3 linked regions of the Medicago truncatula genome follow. The protein of the gene in region 1 binds, or shares a complex with, the protein of each later gene. Links are inferred from orthologs where the notes say so. Each region holds a gene or a part of one and is shown on either strand. Other genes may lie near its edges.

What was found.
Region 2: the proteins of EKC/KEOPS complex subunit TP53RK (region 1) and EKC/KEOPS complex subunit Tprkb are in contact, whole or in part, in a cryo-EM structure (PDB 8K20), measured with the Arabidopsis thaliana proteins. The link is inferred for Medicago truncatula from reciprocal best matches to the Arabidopsis thaliana genes AT5G26110 and AT4G34412. Residues at the interface, in NP_001331017.1 of Arabidopsis thaliana: Thr27, Phe28, Ala29, Arg31, Asn58, Ala61, Arg62, Thr65, Arg68, Lys69, Leu70, Gly71, Val72, Cys73, Val76, Leu77, Tyr78, Ala79, Val80, Asp81, Thr82, Leu83, Leu84, Gln151; in NP_680763.2 of Arabidopsis thaliana: Asp7, Phe51, Leu54, Ala55, Gln58, Ile62, Arg66, Lys147, Thr149, Gln151, Glu152, Ile155, Ser156, Asp160, Val163, Cys164, Ala167, Ala168, Asp170, Ala171, Leu172.
Region 3: the proteins of EKC/KEOPS complex subunit TP53RK (region 1) and probable tRNA N6-adenosine threonylcarbamoyltransferase are in contact, whole or in part, in a cryo-EM structure (PDB 8K20), measured with the Arabidopsis thaliana proteins. The link is inferred for Medicago truncatula from reciprocal best matches to the Arabidopsis thaliana genes AT5G26110 and AT4G22720. Residues at the interface, in NP_001331017.1 of Arabidopsis thaliana: Ala19, Glu20, Lys41, Lys42, Tyr43, His45, Ile47, Leu48, Arg56, Gly158, Leu159, Val161, Asp168, Arg178, Arg218, Gly219, Lys221; in NP_194003.1 of Arabidopsis thaliana: Glu147, Arg149, Arg151, Phe194, Lys202, Gly203, Tyr235, Glu239, Ala243, Val246, Glu247, Glu250, Arg251, Ala254, Arg272, Met280, Glu283, Arg284, Arg329.

Annotation. Positions count from the first base shown.
Region 1 is NC_053044.1:30,318,983-30,326,807, reverse strand, and holds EKC/KEOPS complex subunit TP53RK, read left to right. Parts: upstream 1-4,753; 5' UTR 4,754-4,972; intron 4,973-5,174; 5' UTR 5,175-5,199; coding exon 5,200-5,262; intron 5,263-5,655; coding exon 5,656-5,769; intron 5,770-6,111; coding exon 6,112-6,390; intron 6,391-6,501; coding exon 6,502-6,615; intron 6,616-7,217; coding exon 7,218-7,290; intron 7,291-7,373; coding exon 7,374-7,411; 3' UTR 7,412-7,634; downstream 7,635-7,825. Other genes in the region: alanine--glyoxylate aminotransferase 2 homolog 2, mitochondrial, read left to right, coding at 443-613, 848-991, 1,230-1,409, 2,198-2,423, 2,536-2,649, 3,019-3,105, 3,212-3,255.
Region 2 is NC_053049.1:46,416,648-46,423,816, reverse strand, and holds the start of EKC/KEOPS complex subunit Tprkb, read left to right. Parts: upstream 1-4,066; 5' UTR 4,067-4,147; coding exon 4,148-4,215; intron 4,216-7,037; coding exon 7,038-7,104; intron 7,105-7,169. Other genes in the region: probable fucosyltransferase 8, read right to left, coding at 1,763-3,222, 3,433-3,534, 3,737-3,932.
Region 3 is NC_053042.1:44,678,620-44,686,480, forward strand, and holds the start of probable tRNA N6-adenosine threonylcarbamoyltransferase, read right to left. Parts: upstream 3,003-7,861; 5' UTR 2,795-3,002; intron 2,547-2,794; 5' UTR 2,542-2,546; coding exon 1,996-2,541; intron 696-1,995; coding exon 540-695; intron 436-539; coding exon 88-435; 3' UTR 74-87; intron 1-73. Other genes in the region: leghemoglobin 29, read right to left, coding at 4,028-4,156, 4,396-4,503, 5,315-5,429, 5,549-5,643.

The sequences.
Region 1 (7,825 bases):
GAAACCAATAAACTTTAGTTTTCACGAATTGTCAGAGCGAACCTGAGTTCGAATTCTGGTTGGAACAATCCTTGCCAGGTCCGGAATCTGGTGACCAGATTAGCAAGACTATCTTCTCCTCGCAACCTAAGAGTTACGATGAAAGATCAATCCATTCAGTCACTCAATCAACATATCTATTTAGTACACATCCATCAAAACCAATGAAAAAAACTTACATGTTGATTTGAATAGTCTCTTTTTGCATCAAGATAAGTATAAAATGTTTCGAATTATAGTGGTAAATTTGGAAAAAAGAACTAAATTGACCAACATTGTTCAATTTAATTCACTAAATTGACAGATTCTTACAATTACAATGTCTAAAATGTTGATTTGCTCATTCTATTTTGCCACAGCTGGATTATTTACTATATTGACGAAAATAATTCATTTTTTTAAGGTTGTTTTCTTCACAAATTCTGGGACAGAAGCCAATGAGTTAGCTTTGATGATGGCAAGACTGTACACTGGCTGCCATGATATCATTTCCATTAGAAATGGTTACCATGGCAATGCAACCTCAACTATGGGTGTCACTGCGCAGTTTTATCACAAGTTTAATGTTGTACAGGTGACACTTTTTCTTTTATAATAATGGTATATTTTGTGTGAAACAATTCTTGTTTAAATCTTCTATAGCATCAATTAAGTTCACAAAAACGACTGCATTGTTGTTTTGCTGAGATGTCGGTAATTCATAATGATGCCTTTGTAATTTTAATTCTCGCCAAAAAAAGTTTTCAAAAACAAAAATAACTACTAATTGCATCAATTTTTATCCTTGTTATTATTTCTATGACAGTAGACTGGAGTTCACCATGTCCTTAACCCAGATCCATACAGAGGAGTTTTTGGTTTGGATGGAGCGAAATATGCAAATGATGTTCAAGATATAATTAATCATGGAACTTGTGGTCATGTAGCTGGCTTTGTTGCTGAGGCCATTCAGGTAATACTGATATATGTCGTTTAATAATTGAGTTTAATTTTGATATGCGGTTAGTGTAAAAGTTCTACACTAGTTATCGTTAAAGGAAAACGTTTTTGATGATCCTACAATTCTGGTTGTTTGATAGTGTAAAAGATCTTTTAGTGTAACATAGAAATAAACATAATGGTACTTTCTCACTCTCATAATTTTGTAAAGGGGTTCATATTATTTAGTGAACGGTTCGTGCTTGACACAGGGAGTGGGTGGAGTGATAGAATTGGCTCCAGGTTACTTGCCTGCAGTTTATAGCATCATCAAAAAGGCAGGAGGTGTCTTTATAGCCGATGAGGTTCAGTCAGGTTTTGGTCGAACTGGTAGTCACTTTTGGGGCTTTGAGGCACATGGAATTGTCCCTGATATTGTAACATTGGCAAAGGTAACAACGCTTCTTTAGTAGTAAGCAGCATTGGTGAGTTTTCGACACCATTTGTCAGAGAAACCAATGAAACTTATAGCAACGACTTGGCACATATATGCAATCAGGCACGACACTCATGTGAATCATTAAGAGTACAACCTTTTAGATTCTGTGAACACAAACTATACAAGGCATGTACCATGATAATCAGCATTTCATGTCTAAATGCTGCTTGTGAGTATACACAATCTCTAATTTCATATAAGGATCAAGGAAATCTCGAATCTGTCTTCGCTAAGATTCCAAATGGACATTTTCTGTGGCTTAATATATCGAAATTTCCACTACTTAATGTATAACACTGTGTATATTACATGTAATTTCAGTACTACATATTTAATCCTGCAGTTTTATTTGGTGAACAACTATCAAGCCATCCTTCAATTACAGTGTCAGTACTGCATAACACTAGCTTTTTTGAACAATTGAACTAACTTGAATAATAATATGATATGTAACACCGACATTTCATATTGTTGGCATGTTTGGTGTTGGCACGTGTCATAGTCCGACACCGACACATGTACATTCAATTACTTTCATTTTCTAAAAATATTACCGGTGTGTACATGTCAGTATCAATGTCGTGTTTGTGCTAGTACTTCGTAGATAATTTGAAATTCTAGTGACACTGTTCGGAGAACATAACAATTGCCAATTGTTCATTACACCTCATGCCCTGCTAATCTTGGTTAATTCATTACATCTTTCTGTATTTTGTGAAATATTATTCATCGTCATCTCAGGGAATTGGTAATGGCGCACCTATTGGTGCAGTTGTAACAACTCCTGAGATTGCAAAAGTCCTGAAATATGCGTACTATTTTAGCACATTTGGAGGAAATCCTGTTTGTGCTGCAGCTGGATTAGCTGTTCTGAATGTAATTGAGAAGGATAAACTTCAGCAAAATGCATATGTTGTTGGATCATATTTAAAGGACCGCCTTAATTCACTAATGGAAAAGCATGAGAGTAAGCTTCTTCTTTTTTTTTTTTTTTTTTCCTTTCCATCTACAGTATGTTGCATCATGAGTAAAGAAATTTGGATTATGAATACTATTGCTAACATGTTTTCTTATGGCAGTAATTGGTGATGTAAGGGGAAGGGGAATGTTGCTTGGAGTTGAACTTGTGAAAGATAGGAAGCTGAAAACTCCTGTGAAAGATGAAAATATGCAGATCCTCGAACAGATGAAAGGTCTATTTCTATTGCTTCTATCCTAAGAATCACTGACATAGACACGACACAGATACTTCCTGACACGTTGAGACTACTAATAATTTGAGAAAATAAAATAACCAAATGTAGCCACATGTGTTTCCCTCGTGTCATACACTAACATGTGTCATACACTAGATGCGTCTTCAATCTGAAGCGTCGGTGCTGCATAGCTTCTATTTGGTTCAAAATATATTTTTTAAACAATAAAAACAAATTCATCTAGTAATTGCAATGATCCTTAAATGGCACACAAATGAGCATACATGATTTGTGTATCTGGTACAAACTATCAAAAATGTGTGACACAATTTTCTTAGCTAATATTAAGGTGTCATTATATTTCAGATATGGGAGTGCTAGTTGGGAAAGGTGGCTTCTATGGAAATGTTTTAAGGATCACACCCCCACTTTGCTTCAATAAGGAAGATGCAGGTTGATTGTCATAATCATCATCACCATTTTCTTTTGATTCCTAATACTCTATTTTGCTATTGTTATTTTTATTTGCTAATTTAGACTATTTACTTCATAATTGTAGATTTCCTAGTAGATGTGATGGACTACACAATGTCAAAGATGTGAAGCAAATGCAATACTAATGGATAAAGAACTTGTTCCAATTCTGACTCCATACTTGGAGGTCCTATATAAACCCTGATGTAAATCAATAATTGCACTTTTGGGGTTTATTTAATAAAAATGAAAAAATTATCATAAATATTATAGACTTGGAAATTTGAACAAGGTGAGAATATCTCCACAGTTGTTCATACATCAACTCTAGCACAACCGATCCGAGGATAAACTTAAGAGTCTGCTTGGGAGTAGGGAGTTTACGAGGAGAGGAGAGGATTTTGGGAAAAAAGATGGAAAATTTAAGGGCGTTGGAAGAGTTTACATTTCTTGGTAATAGAAAAATTTTTCAAAATATGTGTTGGAGGAGGTTTTTGAGAGTTTAAATAGTTTTTTTTGTTGGTAGTGAGAGTTTAAATAGTTTAATTCCAATATAAGATGTTACAACACTCTCATAATTAAAAATATATTAACATAAATAGATATTTATTTATCTTTCTCTACAAAAATGCTTTTTTAAACAAGGTGTAAGGTTTCTCTATATTTTCCTCTCATCCCCTCTTCCGAAAGTCCTTGCCTCCTCTCCTATCTAATTATCGAAGGGAATGATGACAATTCAACTTAGGGAAATGTTAACGAATACTCATGGGTACTCGACCCTTAAATGGTAACTTTTTATTAGAATATGTGTAATCAATATATTAGAATTCGAAGTATTTAACTTTTTTTATAAAATATCTTCTTTTTATTTAAATCCTTGTCACCAAGTGCTACTTGTGCTACGAGGACACCGGTTAACAAGTCCTTTCAATTTATGGAGCATCAATCAATCAATATGAGAGAATGACATACTTGTTGCCTCTGATTAATAGTTAGCATAAAAAATAGGGTTAAATATATTTTTGGTTCCTATAAATATATCAACTTTTCGTTTTAGTCCCTCTAAAATTTTCCTTCAACTTTTAGTCTCTATAAAATTTTCAATCACTACTTTTGGTCACTGTTTTTAAGTTAATTTTAGTATTTTTTTTTTTAATGGAATTGTACTGAAATGTGTAGATTATTGTAAAAATATTTCCCAAAAAAAATTAGAACTTTTTAATATGAATTTTTAACCATCAAAAATATAAAAATTCATATTAAATTCATGTTTTGGTAATAAATTCTAAATTTTTTTGGGAGAAATTCTTATAATATTATGAATTTTTCTGCAAAATTTCATTCAAAAATATAAATTCTACATGTAAGTTTACTTTAAATGAGAGACTAAAAGTGAAGATGAAATTTTTTTGAAGAACTTAAAGTTGAAGGAAAATTTTAGAGGGACTAAAACAAAAAGTTGATATATTTATAAGGACCAAAAATATATTTAAATATTAATATAACACTAGATAAATAAATAAAAATTTAAATATCTTTTCACTTCATATAAATATATAACTTTTTGTTTTAGCCTAACAATTTTTTTATATATAATTTTTTGTATCAATTTTTTTTTCTTCGAATTTTAGTCGCCAAAAGTTTCTCATCTTCCTTTTTTTTTTAAAGATTCATCTTTCCATTTATTGACCAATAGATTAAATTAAATAAAAAACTTAAAAATGGTCGAAATTTTGAGAAATTTGTAATTGAATTGAAGGAGTCACTGTTTTGTCAAACTTAAAAAGCTTTCTGTGTTTTCTTTTCTGCAACACGAACTGCACATCGTCGTCCGCCGCCATAAACGGTAAGATTGTCCGTCATGTTTTCCCTTTTTTATGTATTTCAACTGTTTTCCTATTTTACTTCAATTTCGTCGAATACAAAAGAAACTACTTTCACATTTTCTACTTTTTAATGTGCATATAAGCTGTTTGTTAAATGTTCTGTGTGAAACCCAAACTTGTTCAACTTCAATTAATACAAAATTCTTATATTTTACATTGAAGGGTTAAATTAAAGGAATTTCATATTATGGGGACTGAAACTGAGTCATCAGATAGCTCTCTCATTCTCATCAAGCAAGGAGCTGAAGCTGTAAGTTTAATTCACACTCATTGGATTTTCAGAATTAATTTAGCACATACCCATTATATAAAAAAATCAATTTTTTCTTGTTTTTTTTATGCACCCATCTTGTTAATTGAAAATTAATTCATGGGCTATGTTTAAAGTTTCAATCTTTCATTGTAGCAATGTTGTTAGGTAGCTGCTATAGCAGCATATACAGAATTTGAATTGAACAAGTTTCTATTATTTTGTGATATACTATTTAGTACAAAATGTTGTCAAATTGCGGCACTGTGACATTGTTGCATAGGGAAATTTGAACAAGCCGCTAGTTGATTGACAATACTGGTTTTGTGACTTTGAAGGAAATTGGATTTGTTATAGCTTATGGTTTTTTATATTGTTTTGTTGTTGTTGTAGAGGGTTTTTGAGACTTCTTTTGTGGGAAGAAGGTCTGTTGTCAAGGAGAGATTCTCAAAGAAGTACAGACATCCGACTTTGGATGCTAAGTTGACACTCAAGCGCTTAAATGCGGTACGCTCAGATTTAGATAACAGTTTCATTTTTATTTCTGATGAAGTTAGGTCGTGTTTGGATAAACTGCTTAATTGAACATATATCGTATAAGTGCTCATGTATAGCCTCTTTATGTAACAAAAATAAAATAAAGTCAGACTTCTTTTCTATAAGCCAGAAGTTGTTTTCATAAACTATGCTGCCTTGTTTATGGAAATAAGCTGAAAACAAGTTATAGATATGTCATGAGCTGTTTCCATAAACTCTTTGAAACAGTCTCATAAGTACTTATTCAGTAGATAAGTTATGTCTCATTGGATGTTTTCAATACTTTGTTCCGCCAATTGATTGCTGGAGTAGGAGGCGAGGTGCACAACAAAAGCAAGGCGACTCGGTGTTTGTACTCCTGTGCTGTATGCTGTGGATCCTGTATCACACACTTTAACATTTGAATTTGTTGAAGGACCTTCAGTCAAAGATGTATTTCTCGAATTCGGATCATGTGGTGTCAATGAAGAGCGCTTGGGAAAGATTGCATCCCAAATTGGTGATGTAATTGCGAAGTTACATGATGGTGGTCTTGTTCATGGCGATTTAACAACATCAAACATGTTACTAAAGAATGATACTGATCAGTTGGTGAGTTCATTCGTCTCTTAGGTCCTGGAATTAATATTTATTACATTTACTTAGTACAATATGAGAAATATCATTAACTTTTGTTGCTGCTGTGATGTGTATTTTGTGTAGGTTCTTATTGACTTTGGTTTAAGCTTCACTTCAACTCTACCAGAAGATAAAGCCGTCGATTTGTATGTTTTAGAAAGAGCCCTTGTTTCGATGCATTCTTCATGTGGTAATGTGGTAAGCCAACTTCTCATTTTCCCAATAGTCCTAAGGATATAAAAACAGGGTCTTATTTGTCTGTTATGGAAATTTAAATTGAAGTGCAAGTATATTTTAGTTCTCCAAGTTCGAGGTCTTACACTTTCCTTCCCTCAACTTTTGTGTAGAGGCTATCTGTCATGCTTGTGACTTTCTTCGACCCAAAAATCATTAAGAGGATAAAGCTTTTATTTATTTTCCTTTTTTATACTATTAGAATTTTATAGTTTGTGCACTTGAGGTTGATTTGAAATTTTGATAAAGAACTTTAGGACAAAGCATAATTATAAATTATCTATTTGTACTAAAGCTGATGATTTTAAATATCAATACCATGGGATATATCAAGAAGGTATTATTAACCATTTTCAATATCACCCTTATTTACCTGTATATATAACAAGACGAAATATTTTTAACAATAGATAATGCAAGGCAGATATATAACAAGACGAAATATTTTTAACAATAGATAATACAAAGCAGAGTAAGTACTCTGTTATTTAAGAAAGATTGGAAGACTTGTTCTGCTATAATATAGTTTCTGTACTGATATTGATTATTGAAATTTCTCTGGATAGATGGATCAGATACTTGCTGCTTACCGCAAATCATCGAAACAGTGGTCATCCACAATGAACAAGCTTGCAGACGGTATTGTCTTCCATCTAATATTTTTTAGTATTGAGACATTTTCTGTAATAGTACTTACCTCTGTACATTTTCACAACTTGTAGTGCGACAGAGAGGACGAAAGAGGACCATGGTTGGATGATTCTGAGTTTCATTTCGTTACTGTAGTAAAAAGAGGTGACAACCAATGAATGTTATCAACATAATTTATATGTATTTCTTATATGCACATCTCTTACAAATTAAAAATCACAACATTTGAACTTTGATTTTCATGTCCGACTTTTGTGTGTAACAAAAACTGAACTTTTCTGAGAGCTTATTTTTATATCTATACGTCAATGGTTCAAAGGTTATGCTTGTTACTATACTGGTTATTGGTTAAACCATCAATCTGTAAATAGTAGATTTCGAAGGTGAACAAATTTTAAAAATTGCTCTAGTATTGCTGTTTCAAGGCTTGAATCTATATCTCAGTTAAGTCTGTTCACGGTGAACCTGATTGAGAGCACTGCGACAACCTGTCAAGTAAGTTAGAGATTCAAGTGACTAGAAG
Region 2 (7,169 bases), on another chromosome or scaffold:
TTATTGATCCGTTATATTTACAGTAAATAAAACATGTATGCATCTATTATAATTACAGTTTTGAAACAGCATATCTGCGCAATGATTCAGAACTTGTTGAACAACTTTGTCAGGTATGTGTTAATTTACCATATATGCTTGCAAGGTAGAAGTACAGATTTGTGTTAACAAAGAAACTATACCATGGTAGAGTTAACATGTGCTCCCATCTTGGTTTTGCTACTGGTGAACTTGAGGAGTGGAACCAAAGCAAAGGGAAGCTCAAATGATAGGATCATCTTATCAGCAAACAAAGAAGGGCTTTAGCATAAATCAGTTCTGTTCTAAACAAAAATGAATGCATACACCAAAACAGGAGCAACAAAAATGATGTTGCATTGACAGATATTTTTGTTAGAGAATAAATCTATGCTTATGTAACTTCATTTTGGTTCTCAGCCCATAAAACAGCATATCTTCATACGAAGCTAAACAGTGCAGTTATGAACAGTGGCGGCCACAGGGCAGTTGAGTTGCAAATATACGAGAAACTTCCATGATATCATAACATGAAAATTTAAACAATGTATTGTTTATAACATGTACATATTCTCAAGTGAAAAGCATTAGAAGATATTTTAGGACTAAAACAACTCGATTAAAATTGATGGCAAGGATATTTTACAGATGCAATTATTACCAGCTTCCAACCCCAGTAGAGCCACCAATGACCGCAACAATCAAACTAGGAACTATCGCTAAGCAAGGAGTTAACATATTCCGAATCCAAGGCATCAGTCGTAAATCAAGAAATCCCTAAAAAAAGGAAATGATTCATAGGGGGGAAAATAGAAACATCATGAGGTAATAGTTGCTTCAAAGTGGTCACTATGCAAGTGAACCTTAGCAAAATTAAGAAAAACTGCTGAACTCAAAGCTCATTAAGGACACGTGTTGCTACTATTAAATTTTATAAAGAATATGACAGATTGACAGGTATCGTATGTTGAACATAAAAATACCCAACACAATGGTTCATGATAGCATTCATAATTTAATTTGAGGAATTAATGCATTATAATTGAGGCTCCATACCTTATTTTAAAATAAAGATCACAAATCCTGACTTTAAGTTAAAATCAATTCAAATCAATGTCACTCAATCATGTCAAAACCAATTATATATGATTAGAATCACCTTTCACTCTCCCTAACATGAAAACAAACAGATACTAAAGCAAACAAACAAGTCTAGAATATAAAATTTATATCCCAATTTGAAACCAGAACTAACTACAATCTATATCCCAATTTATATCTTATTAAAAGCACACAGAAATAATTACAAGGTTAGTACCTAATACCAGTAGCACAACATGAAGAAACTCTGATAAGAACTGATTTTACACAAATTGGTTGACTCAAAATAATGCTTATTAGAAAATCATATTCCAATCACATCAAGGGGTGTCCAACAAATAACAGCTAAGCATAACCATGCAAGCCTCAAGCCTCAGATAAGCACCAGAGGACTTCAGTCGTGCGACGTTCATTTGTTTATCATCTCATTGCCAATAGATTAGCACTAGCACAAGCAGAGGACTTCAGTCATGTGAGGTTTCCATCAATGTACTTGACTGAAAATAGGGGACAATAACACTCTTCTTCACTGTACTTGAGGACCTCAAATATGGTTGAACATAGAAGTATGAAGTTAAGTACTGATATTAGTTAGCACATCAAGTAGATAACTCCGAGCTGGTTGTAATAGTTAGTTTATTACCTAGCGATTAGCATTAACCAACCTCAACCCACCATTTTTATCTTCACAATGCTTCATGTGATGAAAAAGGGAAGTAAAATCAGTTGTTAGGTTGGCCCTGCAATCATACTTGGGAGGGTAATGGAAACAAGGCTCCATGGACTTGGCTCGTTGACAAGGTGGATTTGGGATGGTTTCCCCATATGCCCTGTGCAGAATCCATGGCTTCAAACCTCCAAGACTATGAGCAACATACCCAAAAGTAGACTTGGGGCTTGTAATCAATGCATCACATAAACTCAGTAGATATATTTCAGTCCATGCTTTAATATTGTGTGTGTCATTATTTGATTTTTGACGCCCTTCGTGACTTGGCTGATAAACTTTTATTACCTCCCCGGTTACAGTTGTATTTGCCTTATATATAGTCTTCAGCTGCTCACCATATTCGGAATATAGAGAAGCCACTAGAACAGCTTTTGGTGTCTGCTTCTTCAAAAAAGATTTTGCTGTCTTCTGCACGTTCAATTCGGGCAACAACTTATGCTGAAGACTGCAAGCTATAATTTCATTGACGATGGTGCGATGTGGTACTTGGTGAGGGTTATACACTCTAATCTGCAATCCAATTTTCTCATTTGCCTTGGCTAAGTGTGTCTCATAGAACCTGCTAATTAGTTCCCATGCCTCATTGGAAGGGTGAAAAAGGTAACGTCCCAAATGGTGAAAAACAGTGTCTTTCTCGGGAAACAATTTGCTTAGTTCTTGGCTAAATGAAGGAATTATAAAAAGAGAAGGGACAAAATATTGATCCGACCGCAAAATTAGAACAGGAACTTTCTGGAGAAGAGCTTGACTCTGATCACAGTGAAAATAGTTGTTATGACCGTCATGGGTGTGCTGTAAATTAAGAATGAGAAATTGTGGCAAAAGCTCCTTTGATCTGTTTTTCTTGCTATTCATTAGCATGCTTTCATAGGTTTCAATATGTTTCTGATCTTTCCAATAAGGAAAGTTCCTGGGCAATAACCACGAGGAATCAGGAAAAGGCTCACAAAAGAGACCAAACATGTCAGCGCCAAATTTGACAAGTAGAACCCGGTCCGTAAGAATAGCATAAAGAAACGCTGCCGCCAAGGTTATCATCCTGTTCCCCAATCCATTGGAAGCTGTCCATACAAGGTATTTGCACTTTGTATCGGCATCACCTTTGCTAAATTTTGGACCCTTTGTCATGATTTTGCTGTATGGTTTGGTATTTGGTCCACAACTTCTATGAAGATGTTCATAGTTTCGTAGCTTGGATAACAGATATGCAGAAGGTTTATAAGGGGAAGCTTTGCGGTATAAGTGAGATTTAAATCTACTTAAGCATGATGCTTCATCAAATGTGGAAACTAGTAGTCCATCAAGAAATCGGTCATTAGCAGAAGCTAGAGAATGATGCTTCTTTTGGTGTTCAAGTGAATCATATTTTGGACCTGTAGTGTGGAAATAAAATATGCATCATACACAATTCTATATGAAATTGAAGTCCACAATTCTACACGAAAGTGAATGAAACCATCTTAGTGTTCATTTTACCAACATAAGCAATAGAAGGTTGCTAAGTATGATAAATGTAAAATAATTTTGAAATTAACAGAAAGAACAAAGAATAATTCTATAAATGTGGAGTAATTTTGTCTAACCTTTATTACCAATATCTGAGATTTTATGTGTCTGAGGAGGTTGTTGAGATTGAAAGATCCGAGCAGGCATAAGATTTTGATATTTGTCTCCCAACACCTTATCTAACAACACAAATTAGACACATAAAAATGTTAGAAACATAAATAGCATTGAGGTAAAGACACTGATACGGACACAGAGACACTGACACCAATAATAATAGAATGTAATAAATAACATGTGTTATGTAGATGCTTGAGAGATTGACAAGAAGAAGAAGAAGAAGAAGAAGAATAGGTGATTCAAAAGTAACAATGGTCTTACCTACCGATGAGTTAGTAACAACATTTTGAGGTGTTTGTTTGAAGACAGTAACAGTAACAGTAGTAGCATTGATGTTGGAAAATCCATCAACAAAATTGAAGATTGAGTTGTTTTGGTGAATGAGAATGAATATGAGTGATGATATAGAGAAGGTTATGAAACCCAGAATCAATAATGAACTGAATCTCTTTAACATCTTGAACCGAAAAGATTCCCAGGAAACAAATCTCTCTTAGTTTTAACTGTATCAACATCTCTCTCTCTCTCTCTGTGACCAATTATTATTATTATTATTATTAATTACCAAATTTACCCATTTGTACATTACCATAATACCCCTAAAAATAATTAGGAAAACCCTATTAGGTCTTGTCTTCATTCATTCATTCAGCAGCACCCAAAACAAAAGCTATGAAGCTCATCGACATCAATGGAACCACTATTTCTCTTTCACTCTACACTGATGTCACCAATTCAAAGTTAGTCTTTCTCTTCATCTCTCTTTTTACCAATTGTGGGCGCCGTTTTAACGACTTGTATCTTCTTGATGTTTTGAAGCTTTTTTGCACTTCTGGTGCAATTAGCAGTTTAATGAATATGCTGTAAATTCTACAGTAATGTCACCTTTAAATTAATATTAAAGTAAAGGAATTTTTACCAACTTGTTAGAATTACTTCATATCTGAATCGAGTTTTCATGAAACTGCTAGCCACTCTTTGGGATGGATCATATTGATTGCTTGAAGCTCTTAAGCATGTGTATTTGTTATGAACAGCTTTTGAGTTGTTCATAAATGGACTAAGAGAATAAAAACTATAACTAACTACTCTGAACATTAACTTCATTCTTTTTTCTTTTTTTGCCCATTAGTATTATTTGCATGTGCAAATGTGGTTATATTATTCGTAATTGTATGTACAAATCTTTCTGTACCTTTACACATTGGAATTGAAATCTTCCTTTCTTTTTCTTCTATTGTACAATTCAATTTGAAACCAAAAAATCATACACCTCCTTCAGTTCCAATTGAAGCCTAATAACTAGAGGAACGTATAGTGCTTGATGCTTCCTCAGTTCCAATTTCCATTCCATCATGTTGATCTATGAAGTCAATCATCTGATTAGTAGCTTCCTCAGTCCCCAGGCGGTTATGTCCGGATAAAATTTCTTTTACGACCAAAATAATCTTGGGAAGATTCTCATGATAACTTCCAAATAGGTGTTCATCTGACCTTTGTACCAATTTAGAAAACAGCCCATGTGCATATCTAGCTTCCTTGAAATCATGCTTCAGTGGCAAGAAGTATAACCATCTTTTAACCCCCGTAGGGCCGGTACTGTCACGGTGAAATTCACAGATTCTTCCAAGAGCTGCAACTGCGGTATCACATAATGTTTTTACATTTCCATCTACATATAGTTCACTAGTTGAAAGTCTTTTACTGATGACCTTACTAGATGTAAGATACCCGCACTAACAGAAGCTTTAAATTGATCTCCTCCAAACATAGCACAGATACCAATCGCCCATGTAGCATGCAGCTGGGCACAAGGATAATTTTTCTCTAAAACAAGACAGGAGATAAAAATATATCTGTTATGATACCAAAAACATGGCAACATTTGACATGAGGTCATTAACAGGTAGCATGAGTTGGTCTTCAAATTTTTGAATCGCTGTTGCTGTTAAGTTGACTACTTCCTCAATTGTTTCTTACACTGACAAAGATCTAAATACATCCTCCGAGGTCCCCGCCTCTTGTGCTTTCTCTATTTCAAATTTAATAATCCTTCTTATTGTATCGTTTATCTCGTCATTAACAATCTTGATCAATTGATCAGTGAAAAATGAACTAGAGGTCTGAATGCATCTGCCAAGTAACCTCAATACTAATGTAGACAAATCCCTATCAATTTCCGTCTTCAGCACTTGAGTCAGAGCTTGCACAATGATGAAAGTTGTATCTCTTTTAGTGTCATTACTTTTGTCACTTGCTATAACTAAAATAGAAGCCTTGCGAATTTCAGAACTAGAACAACCAAGCAAACATATAAACATTGGAGTGACCTTGGCAATGTGGGGGAAAACGTATAAACATTGTATTACAAGCCTGGGCTCTCATAGTTTCAACCAAACGCTTGTCCTCGTTGCTTAGGCTATCATCCTTGGACTCCTCGCCCGTTAAGTTAAGAAGGGGCTGAGCACATGCAATCAACATTGGCATAATTTTATCTATAAATTTGTCAACACTCACTTTTGGGCATTGACAGATTTGATCCAAAGCCTTTAAAATGATACATTTTGTTAAGTATTCTGTATTGCTCAATTTTCCATCAAGTGATATTAGAGATTCCACCACCTGAACAGCTTCCCGCTCTTTGAAATCATCTGGCCCAACTTTCCTAACAAGATAAACCATGCATTCTTGACATTTGGCACAGATCAACAATTTGGGTAAACTATACTTATTGGACAAAATAGCTTTCAATGCTTCCATTGTTGTATCGTAATGAATCGGATATTTTGTCAAAGCCACAATTTTTTACCAAGCAACGAAGGGCAATAAGAGCATATTTGATGGCAATAAGCCACCTGAACTAGTTCTCCAAGAACTTGAGATATTGAGAACGCAGTAATAGTTCCTTACATTCACTCAAACACAATTTTTGAATTTTTAAACTTTTATTGTGTTGTTTTTGCTGTGAATTGAAGAATTTAGCTCTTTTATTTTATTTTATATAACAAATCTCGTGTTTTTTATGGATGTACCCCGTACCTTAATATTTTTAAAATTGTCGTATTCTCGTATATGTAACTATGCAACATAGGATAACTATCAACGAGGTCATGTTCTGTACGTAGTTATGTTTGGATCAAAGTTACAACACTTTTTCACTTCTTTGTTATGGCACTATGGTAAGTGGTTATCAGGGTGCATGCTTGTTTTTTAGTGGCCATCAAATATTGCTATTCAGTATTACAAGGGATCGCTTAATCTCAAAATTCAGTTTAACCGTAATTAGAGTTTAATTTGTTTCTTTTTACCAGTGTCGTCATAACTATTCACAATATTTGGTCCTGGTTGTCCTTTTACAACAATTCATTTGCAATCAATTGCATTTCGTATGTCGATTCCTCCTAATCAAGTAGGCGATTGCAAATAAAATTCTATTTATCATCACATAAAACAATCTGTAAAAGTAGATATACATAATACATTATGAAAATACTGTTATTGATCCATGATATTAGGAACCAGCTCTTAGCGGAAGTATATTATGTAACTATGTTTCTTGCAGGGAACTATTGGAAAGTATGCAAGCTGGGACATTGGAGCCAGAAGTTGCATTCCTCAATGCTTCACTTGTATAATTTCTTATGTTTGTGCTTTATGTCATGTCCATCGCTATTTACCAGCTCATCTGAATTCA
Region 3 (7,861 bases), on another chromosome or scaffold:
CATAATTAAAACAGACTATTTATATAGCTAACTGAAATTGACTATAATTGTGTGCACAAGGAAACTAGCGCACCTCAAGATTGAAAATCAAACGGTTTTGTCTGCCAGACTATTTGATTTTGCCAAATTTGCTTCTCTCCAGATTGCTTTGACTTCATCTGTTCGGAACCGCTGGGTGAATGTAGAATCCTCCAGTGCAGTCGACGCACCATGGGCAAATTCAAGGAGACCGGTATAAGCTATCATTGCACCATTATCAATGCAGTACCTATCATCAGTGGCAAACAACCTTCCACCACGTTCTGAGCACATTGTTCTCATCATTTCTTGCAAGCGTTCATTGCAACCTACACCCCCAACAATAAGAACATCTTTTGTGTCACAATGAGCCATGGCTCGCTCAGTTATCTCCACCAGCATGGCAAACAGTGTCTCCTACAGCATTATAGGAACTATCAACTCACAAATTTTCATTTATTTAATGAACACAACTGTACAAGATACCAGGAGGAAAAGGGATCAACACAAATAAAATTTACCTGCAGAGAGTAGCATAAGTCTGCAGGTGTGCACTCATTATTCTTTAGCTGTTCATTAGCAGTTGCTTCAATATAGCTCAATATTCCACTAAAAGATACATCCATCCCTTTGACAACATAAGGAAGGTCTATAAATTTCTCTCCTTTTTTCGCAAGCTGAAGGATAAGAAAACCATATAAGGCAACTTGAGACAGATCAACTCATGACAGCATTAGTCAGTTAAGCATGATAAAACATGACGAAACTATACATTTAGTTTTTTTTTTTTGGTTTATTATCATTTTGAACAGAAAATAAACATGCAAAAAACACGGGTCCTGTTTGGTTTGAGAGAGAACCATTTCTGTCTACATGTTTTTAATTTTTAACTACAAAACGGTCACTTTATTTTCATTTTATTTCCCGTTTTTTAAATGTTTGTTCAGATAGACAGCTAGACAGCTGAAGAGCAACAGTTTTTGTTTTCACATTTCCGTTGAACAATATGTCTTCGAAGATACGAAACAAGAGAAAACTAGTGGTAATTTGGTCATTAAAAGCAAAAAATAGATAACATTTTCGGAAATTCCAAAATGGATAAAACTAAGAAAATGCTGGTTTTGAGCTTGGAAAGGAAGAGGGAGATCTAATTAATCGCTGTCTAATTTGTACACTGCATAACAGAATCAAAAGAAGCATCGACTCTGGTATCAGAAATCCCAAGCTAAAGATGGTAATTACATTCAATTTCTTTATTTCAAGGCAAGACCAAACACATCATACTCCAAAGTTACAACCATTAATTACTACAAAATAACTCATTATAACATTAGTCAGCTAAGCATGGTAAAAAATGGCGAGACTATACATTCAGTGTTTTTTTTTTCATTTTTTTTAACGGTAAATAAACAGGGTAAAAAAAATTGGGGCCTGTTTGGTTTGAGAGAACCTTTTCGGTCCTCGTGTTCATAATTTCAATTACAAAACTACCACTTCATTTTCATTTTACTTCTCGTTTTCAAATATTTGTATGGATAGACAACTGAAGAACAACTACTTTTACTATGACTTTTTCAGTGCAAAATAAGACTTTAAAAACAATAAACAAAGTGAACACTAGTGGCTATTTTGTCATGAGTGATGAAAAGCAAAAATAGAAAACATTTCTGAAATAAAAGTCCCGAAAATGACTAAAAAGAAATTGCTGGGTCAGAGCTTGAAGAGGAACATCTAATTAATCCGTGTATAATCTGTACACTACATAACAGAATCAGAAGATACATCAACTCTGATATCAGAAATCCCAAAGAAAAGATGGTAATTACATTACATTCAATTTCTTTTTCCAAGGTAAGACGAAATAGATCATGCTCCCAAGTTACAACCCAACTCATGCAAAATTACAACAAAAAAAAAACGATCCAAATATCATACAGCAATCATAAACATTGTAAAATAGATAATTAGAAAAATCACCTGCTCAATGTTATAACCAGGACTAGGATCATTGGAAAGTGTCAAAACCCTAGCAAACCGATCCAAACAATTCCCAACAGCAATATCAATAGTCTCCCCAAAAATCCGATATCTTCCCTCACTATAAGCAATAACCTGAGTATTCCCACCACTAACATACAAAACAACAGGATCATCAGCACCAGTTACAACCCTACCCATTTCAATATGAGCCACACAATGATTCACACCAACAATCGGCTTCTTCCAAAGCAACGAAAGCACGCGAACAACAATAGCAGAAACTTGTAACGGAGCTCCCATGCCAGGACCCTTTGTGTAACAAATGCAGTCAATGTCTTGTGGAGTGATCTGTGCTGTTTCTAAAGCTGATTTGACAAGTGGAAGAATGTGTTGAAGATGATGTTGTGCTGTTTCTCTAGGTAGAAAACCTTGACCTGGTGGTGTTATATATGTGTGACGTGGATTTGAAAGAATTGTTCCATCTAGGGTTACTACACCAACACCTATTTTGTTTGCTGAACCTTCAAACCCTATTGCTATCATTTTCACTATCAAGAACAAATAACAAAACCATACAAAACATGAGAGTGAAACACCATGAACCAGAAACAAATAAAAAAGGTAGTTGAATTCAATGGCTTTTTGATTCCGCTTTAGAGTTATTTGGTAATAATAACTATCATCACTTCCACAACTAATTTTGAAATTGGGTTTGGAATCAGTGAAAGCGGAATCAACAGCCATCGAAGAAAGAAAGAGGAAAGGAAGTAGAAGATGAGAGAAAAGGGAACTAAACCTTAAGTCGACCTAAACCTCAAGGTATCGTCGGAGAGCGTCGGCGGAACGTGTACGGATGTGGTTGAAGCACGGCGCAGTGGCTGGGGGCGGCGGCGGTTGGTTAGAGGGGGAACGGCGACAACAACTGAAATGAAACTGATAGTGTCGTTTGTTTTCCTCAAGTTTTGGGATGGGAGGGTTTTGTTTTGTTTGAAGATTTCATTTTAGAGAAATGATATTTGAATGATTTCCGTGTAAATATTTAGTTTTTTTTTTTGTAAATTATAATTGTCGCATGAGTTGTTTACAATATTTAAGGAAGTCAAAAGTAGCATGTTTGTTTGCTTTGGTTTCAACAATATTTTGATTTTTAAAAAGTTAAATTTATCACTTTTCACCATTTTTCAATACTATATTTCTATTTTTATCCCCTTATTCAATGTCTCAAGGGCAATGGTTAGCATTATCCAATTCCGAAAAACATTAAATTGGGGGGGGGGGTAAAATTCCGAGTTTTAAAATAGGGGGTAAAATTCCGATTTAATCAAAATACGGGGGGCAAAACTGCACTTAAGCCTAAAATAAACATCCGATAGTTATCTATTAGATGTATAAAATGGAAATTTTTAAAAGGTGGTAGTTATCTACCGGATATACAAAATGAAAAATTTTAAAACGAACCTTTGGTGGTTATCTACCGGATGTACAAAATGAATTTTTTAAAATGAACATCCGTAATTATCTACATAATATGTTATTAAAGGCAATTTCATAATTTTAGAGGTTCACATCTTCTCGAACCTTTTGAAAAATTTTCTTCAACAAGAATATAATGTGAGACAAGTAAATGATAGAGTATGATTATTATCGTGCGGTTCAGTAAAATGTTTATATTGTTGGTGGTTGAGTTGTTGTTGATATGCTCTATCACTATGATGTTTATGGTTTATGAAATTTTAGGTCGAGTTAAAGTGACTCCATTTAAAATTGGGTTGGGTGATCATACTTTTTTGCCAATATGCTTAATATTTTTAAATACACAGCTTATTGTGATTTTTTTTTCATATACCATATGTTAAAATTCGAATACATTAGTCTTCCAAAAATTGAAGACAACTTATTATACAAATATACTGAAATTATACCTGAAAATTCTTAACTAATTCTCTTTTGAATATTTATTATAAAAACTTTTTTAAAGTTTTAGGAAAATATATATTTATTTATTGATAGTTTGTAATAGATCTAATAATCAGCTCATTTCCTTTATGATTGCGACTGCCAATTCGTCATAAGCAGTTTCCCAAGCAACACTCAACTCCTCACTCCATTTATCACCAACAACTTCTTTGATTGTTTTGAGCAATGCTTCTTTCACAACCTATAAAACAAAAATATCTTTAATTTTCTACACTCTTATGTTTATGAACATGACCTATAATATATGAAGTTATACATATTTTTATCAATGAAAATGTAATATGTCACACAAAAACATATTGAAATTGAACTTCATATGTTTTACGTTAATTATTTAAATTTATTATATATTGATGTGTTACCAAACAAGACATTCTCAGACATTTAAATTTAAGAAAGCATTTTTTATGATATTCATACCGTAAAATGAGGACCAACAACCCCCTTTTGGGTGTGAACAATCCCCAATGTGGAATCTCCCAATACAACTTCTCCTTTTGCTTGGAGTTGAACGGCAGCATCACGCACCTAAAAGTAAATATATATTATGAAATGATAGTTATAATAAGAAAAAATGTCAACAATAAAAAAGTTGAAATAATGTAATTGGATACAATTGTTTGAACTTTGAACCATGTCAAATTGTATTTTATCTAGAAAAATAGACATTCGCCATCAAATATTTTATTAGGGAAATTCATCATTAAATATTTATATTACATTGTTTTTAAATATTGAAAATAAAATATTATTCGAATATAGTATTGATTTTGGTATTTACATTATGAGTATTAACAAGGGTTTAGAGATTTCAATATGATAGATCAAAAGAAGAGCAAACAATGTTTTAGGTAATACCACAATTGTTGTTAATAATTTTTCTTCCTTAAATTTTCACATCATTCTATATGTATTTTATAATTTAAGTTGTATGTCTTTCTATTTGAATAGTATAACAATCTTTTGTTGTTTTTATATTCATATACAACAAAGCATGAATTCAACATTAATATTAAAAAGTGATTTGTTGACGACACTTCTTTCTTAATCATAACCATTGTTTGAGAAGTTGTAGGCATATGATGTATTAGTAGGTTAAAGTATACTTTGTTTTTTTGGATTAATGACCATGATTTTGTATTTTATGGTCTAAAATGTATTTTCTCTCTTGACAAATTTCATTTGTGTTTCCTTGTATAATATGAAAGTGCAAAAACTGTTATGATTGTTATGTAAAGGTGAGGCAAATTCAATAATTTGGTTAGAAAATCAAAATATAAAAAATTAGCATGATGAAAATGAAAAACGTAAAAAACTTGTGAGCGTCAGCTGTACTCACCATTCCAAAAACCTTCTCAGCGTGAGCATTAACACTAGGGTTATCTTGAGGTACCTCATTCGAGTCCTTTAGAAAAGAAAACATGCCTTTTGCTGCAGGTGCTTTATCCAATATACTATTTTAATAAAATCAATTAGAGATACTCATGTTTAAACCATCACTTGCTAAACATAATAGACAACAAATATATATATAGTCACACAAAATGAATACATATACCGAGGTCAAACTTACAAGGTGTAGAACAAAACACTATAGAAAGGAAGGTTTTGATTGAAGGTTTCCCATGAGCTACTAACCAAAGCCTCTTGTCTCTCAGTGAAACCCATATTTCTCTTTTTTCTCCTTCTTTTAATTTGAATTGGAGTTTTTGAATACTACAATTTTACAAACCATCAACTGTTTATATAGAAGGCTTGGTTAATGAATAATAAAGAGGTGGTAATTTGTTTTATTTTTTTTAATTATTGGTTTAGGTAATCTATTGGTCTTTAATTTAGAGGTGGCCATTGGCAATATTAAGAGACAATTGTCTTTTCAAAAACACCATCACATAAATTTTAATTAATTAAAGCAAATATAATTTTAAAAAATATATAAACATTTAATGGTCTCTTCCATTTTAAATTTTTTATGGAAGTTCCAATATTCATATATCTAATGTAATTATTAATCTGTTAAAAACTACTAGCAAATAGCAAATATTATTTAAAATACTTTTTTATTTAGTAAAATCTTTTTAGAACCTATTTTTAAAGAGTACGCACGAGTTGTTCAATGAGACCATATAAATTATTTAATTAATAATTTTTAAAAATATAATCAAAATTGGTTGTGTTAACATTCATTTTAAGAAATATCTAAAATAAATCATATTTTTTAATATATACATACATACATATGCATTACGTATGTCTTTATCCTTGGATGAAGTCGTTGAACATTGCACCATGGGATATTTTACATGCTTACTAGTAGATATTAATTTTTTAATGAGTTGCATTACATATTTTAGCTGAGAGAAAATGTTGTGTGTTTTCTTTGTTGATATTGATTATGAAAATATACCATAATTTTGTAAACATTGTTGATGTATTGGTCATTCGATTGATAAATGCAGTAAAATCCATGGCAAATCGAATGATCAACTGAAGATTGTGGAGAAGGTTGCACCCAGAAAACCTAATCCAAAATTTATCCCTAAACAGAAAACCCAATGATGAGAAAGTCCCTGATTATGAATCCTTGCATCTGGAATATAATCAAGAGAATGCAGATCGGAGAAAAGGTCATGGTCACTTATGAGGAATCAATAGCAATTGAAGAAGAAAATGCAGGCAATAGCAATAACATTGGTAACTATGTGTTTGCGGAGCATGATCAACATCAACATGAACAACGCACACCAAACCATTTCATTTGTACCGCTTAACTCGCATCAACCGTTCGACCTGACCCAAAATCCTTCGGCTCATACGATTCGGCCAGTTTGGGCCGAATATTATATTTTTGTCCCGCCCTTAGGTGAACGGACGAAAAATCCCCTGGCTCTATCAAACTCAAGTGAAATTACCATAATACCCTCAATTCATTTCTCCTCAACGAGACAGTAGCCTTCATCTTCTTCCTCTGTCTCGTGCCATATGTTTTCTCTATCTCTCTCTCTCTCTCTCTCTCACTATGTTTCGTCCGCATCTCTCTCTCTCTCTCTCTCTCCATCTCTCCCTGTTTAATTTGATATGTATCTCCCTCTCTCTCTGTTTGATCATCAGAATTCAGTTTTATAATCTCATTCTGGAAACATAATTCCATAACAAGCTCAAATAATAAAAAAATTATTATTAAAAATGTTTAGATCTAAAAGAATTTCAAAAATCAAAATTAGTGAACATTGATTACGAAGCAGTGAAGAAGAAGAACACACTTAGAGCATTTGGTTACGATTCAAATCCACTCACAATGTTCTTCTTCACTGCTTTGGAATTGGATTTGGATCGTAATAAAAATAAATCTAGAATTATTGCTCTGAGTGAAGAAGAAATCCATAAATCGACTCAAAATCCATAAATCAAAAAATGTTCTTCTTCAAATGCTCTTTAGAAATCCACTCGGAGCATTTGGATTTGTTATTTTTCTTTTTCAAAGCTCAAAGTTTTTCTTCATTGTTTTTTTTTATTACGATTCAAACAAAAAATTGTGAGTGAATTTAGATTAGGATTAGGTCATTACTTAATCAAATTTCAAAAATTTGAATCTAGATTGAAGTTTGTGAAAAACTATGAGTTATCGTGATAGTGTAGAAACGAAAGCGTTGATGTAGAAGAAATTGATATGATTTTTTTTTTTTAGTTTTTTGGAATTTTCTCTGAATTTTTTTAACTTTGGTATGAAGAAGATGAAGAGGAGGTGGAATGAAGATGAATAAAGGGTGTTATGGTCATTCCACATTTGTCTGTAATCATATTAGAGGAGAAGCTAATACAAATGCTCCTCTTTAGCTAGGATTATAGTTAACAATTCTTAGTTTGGTCAGAAAATATTTGACCA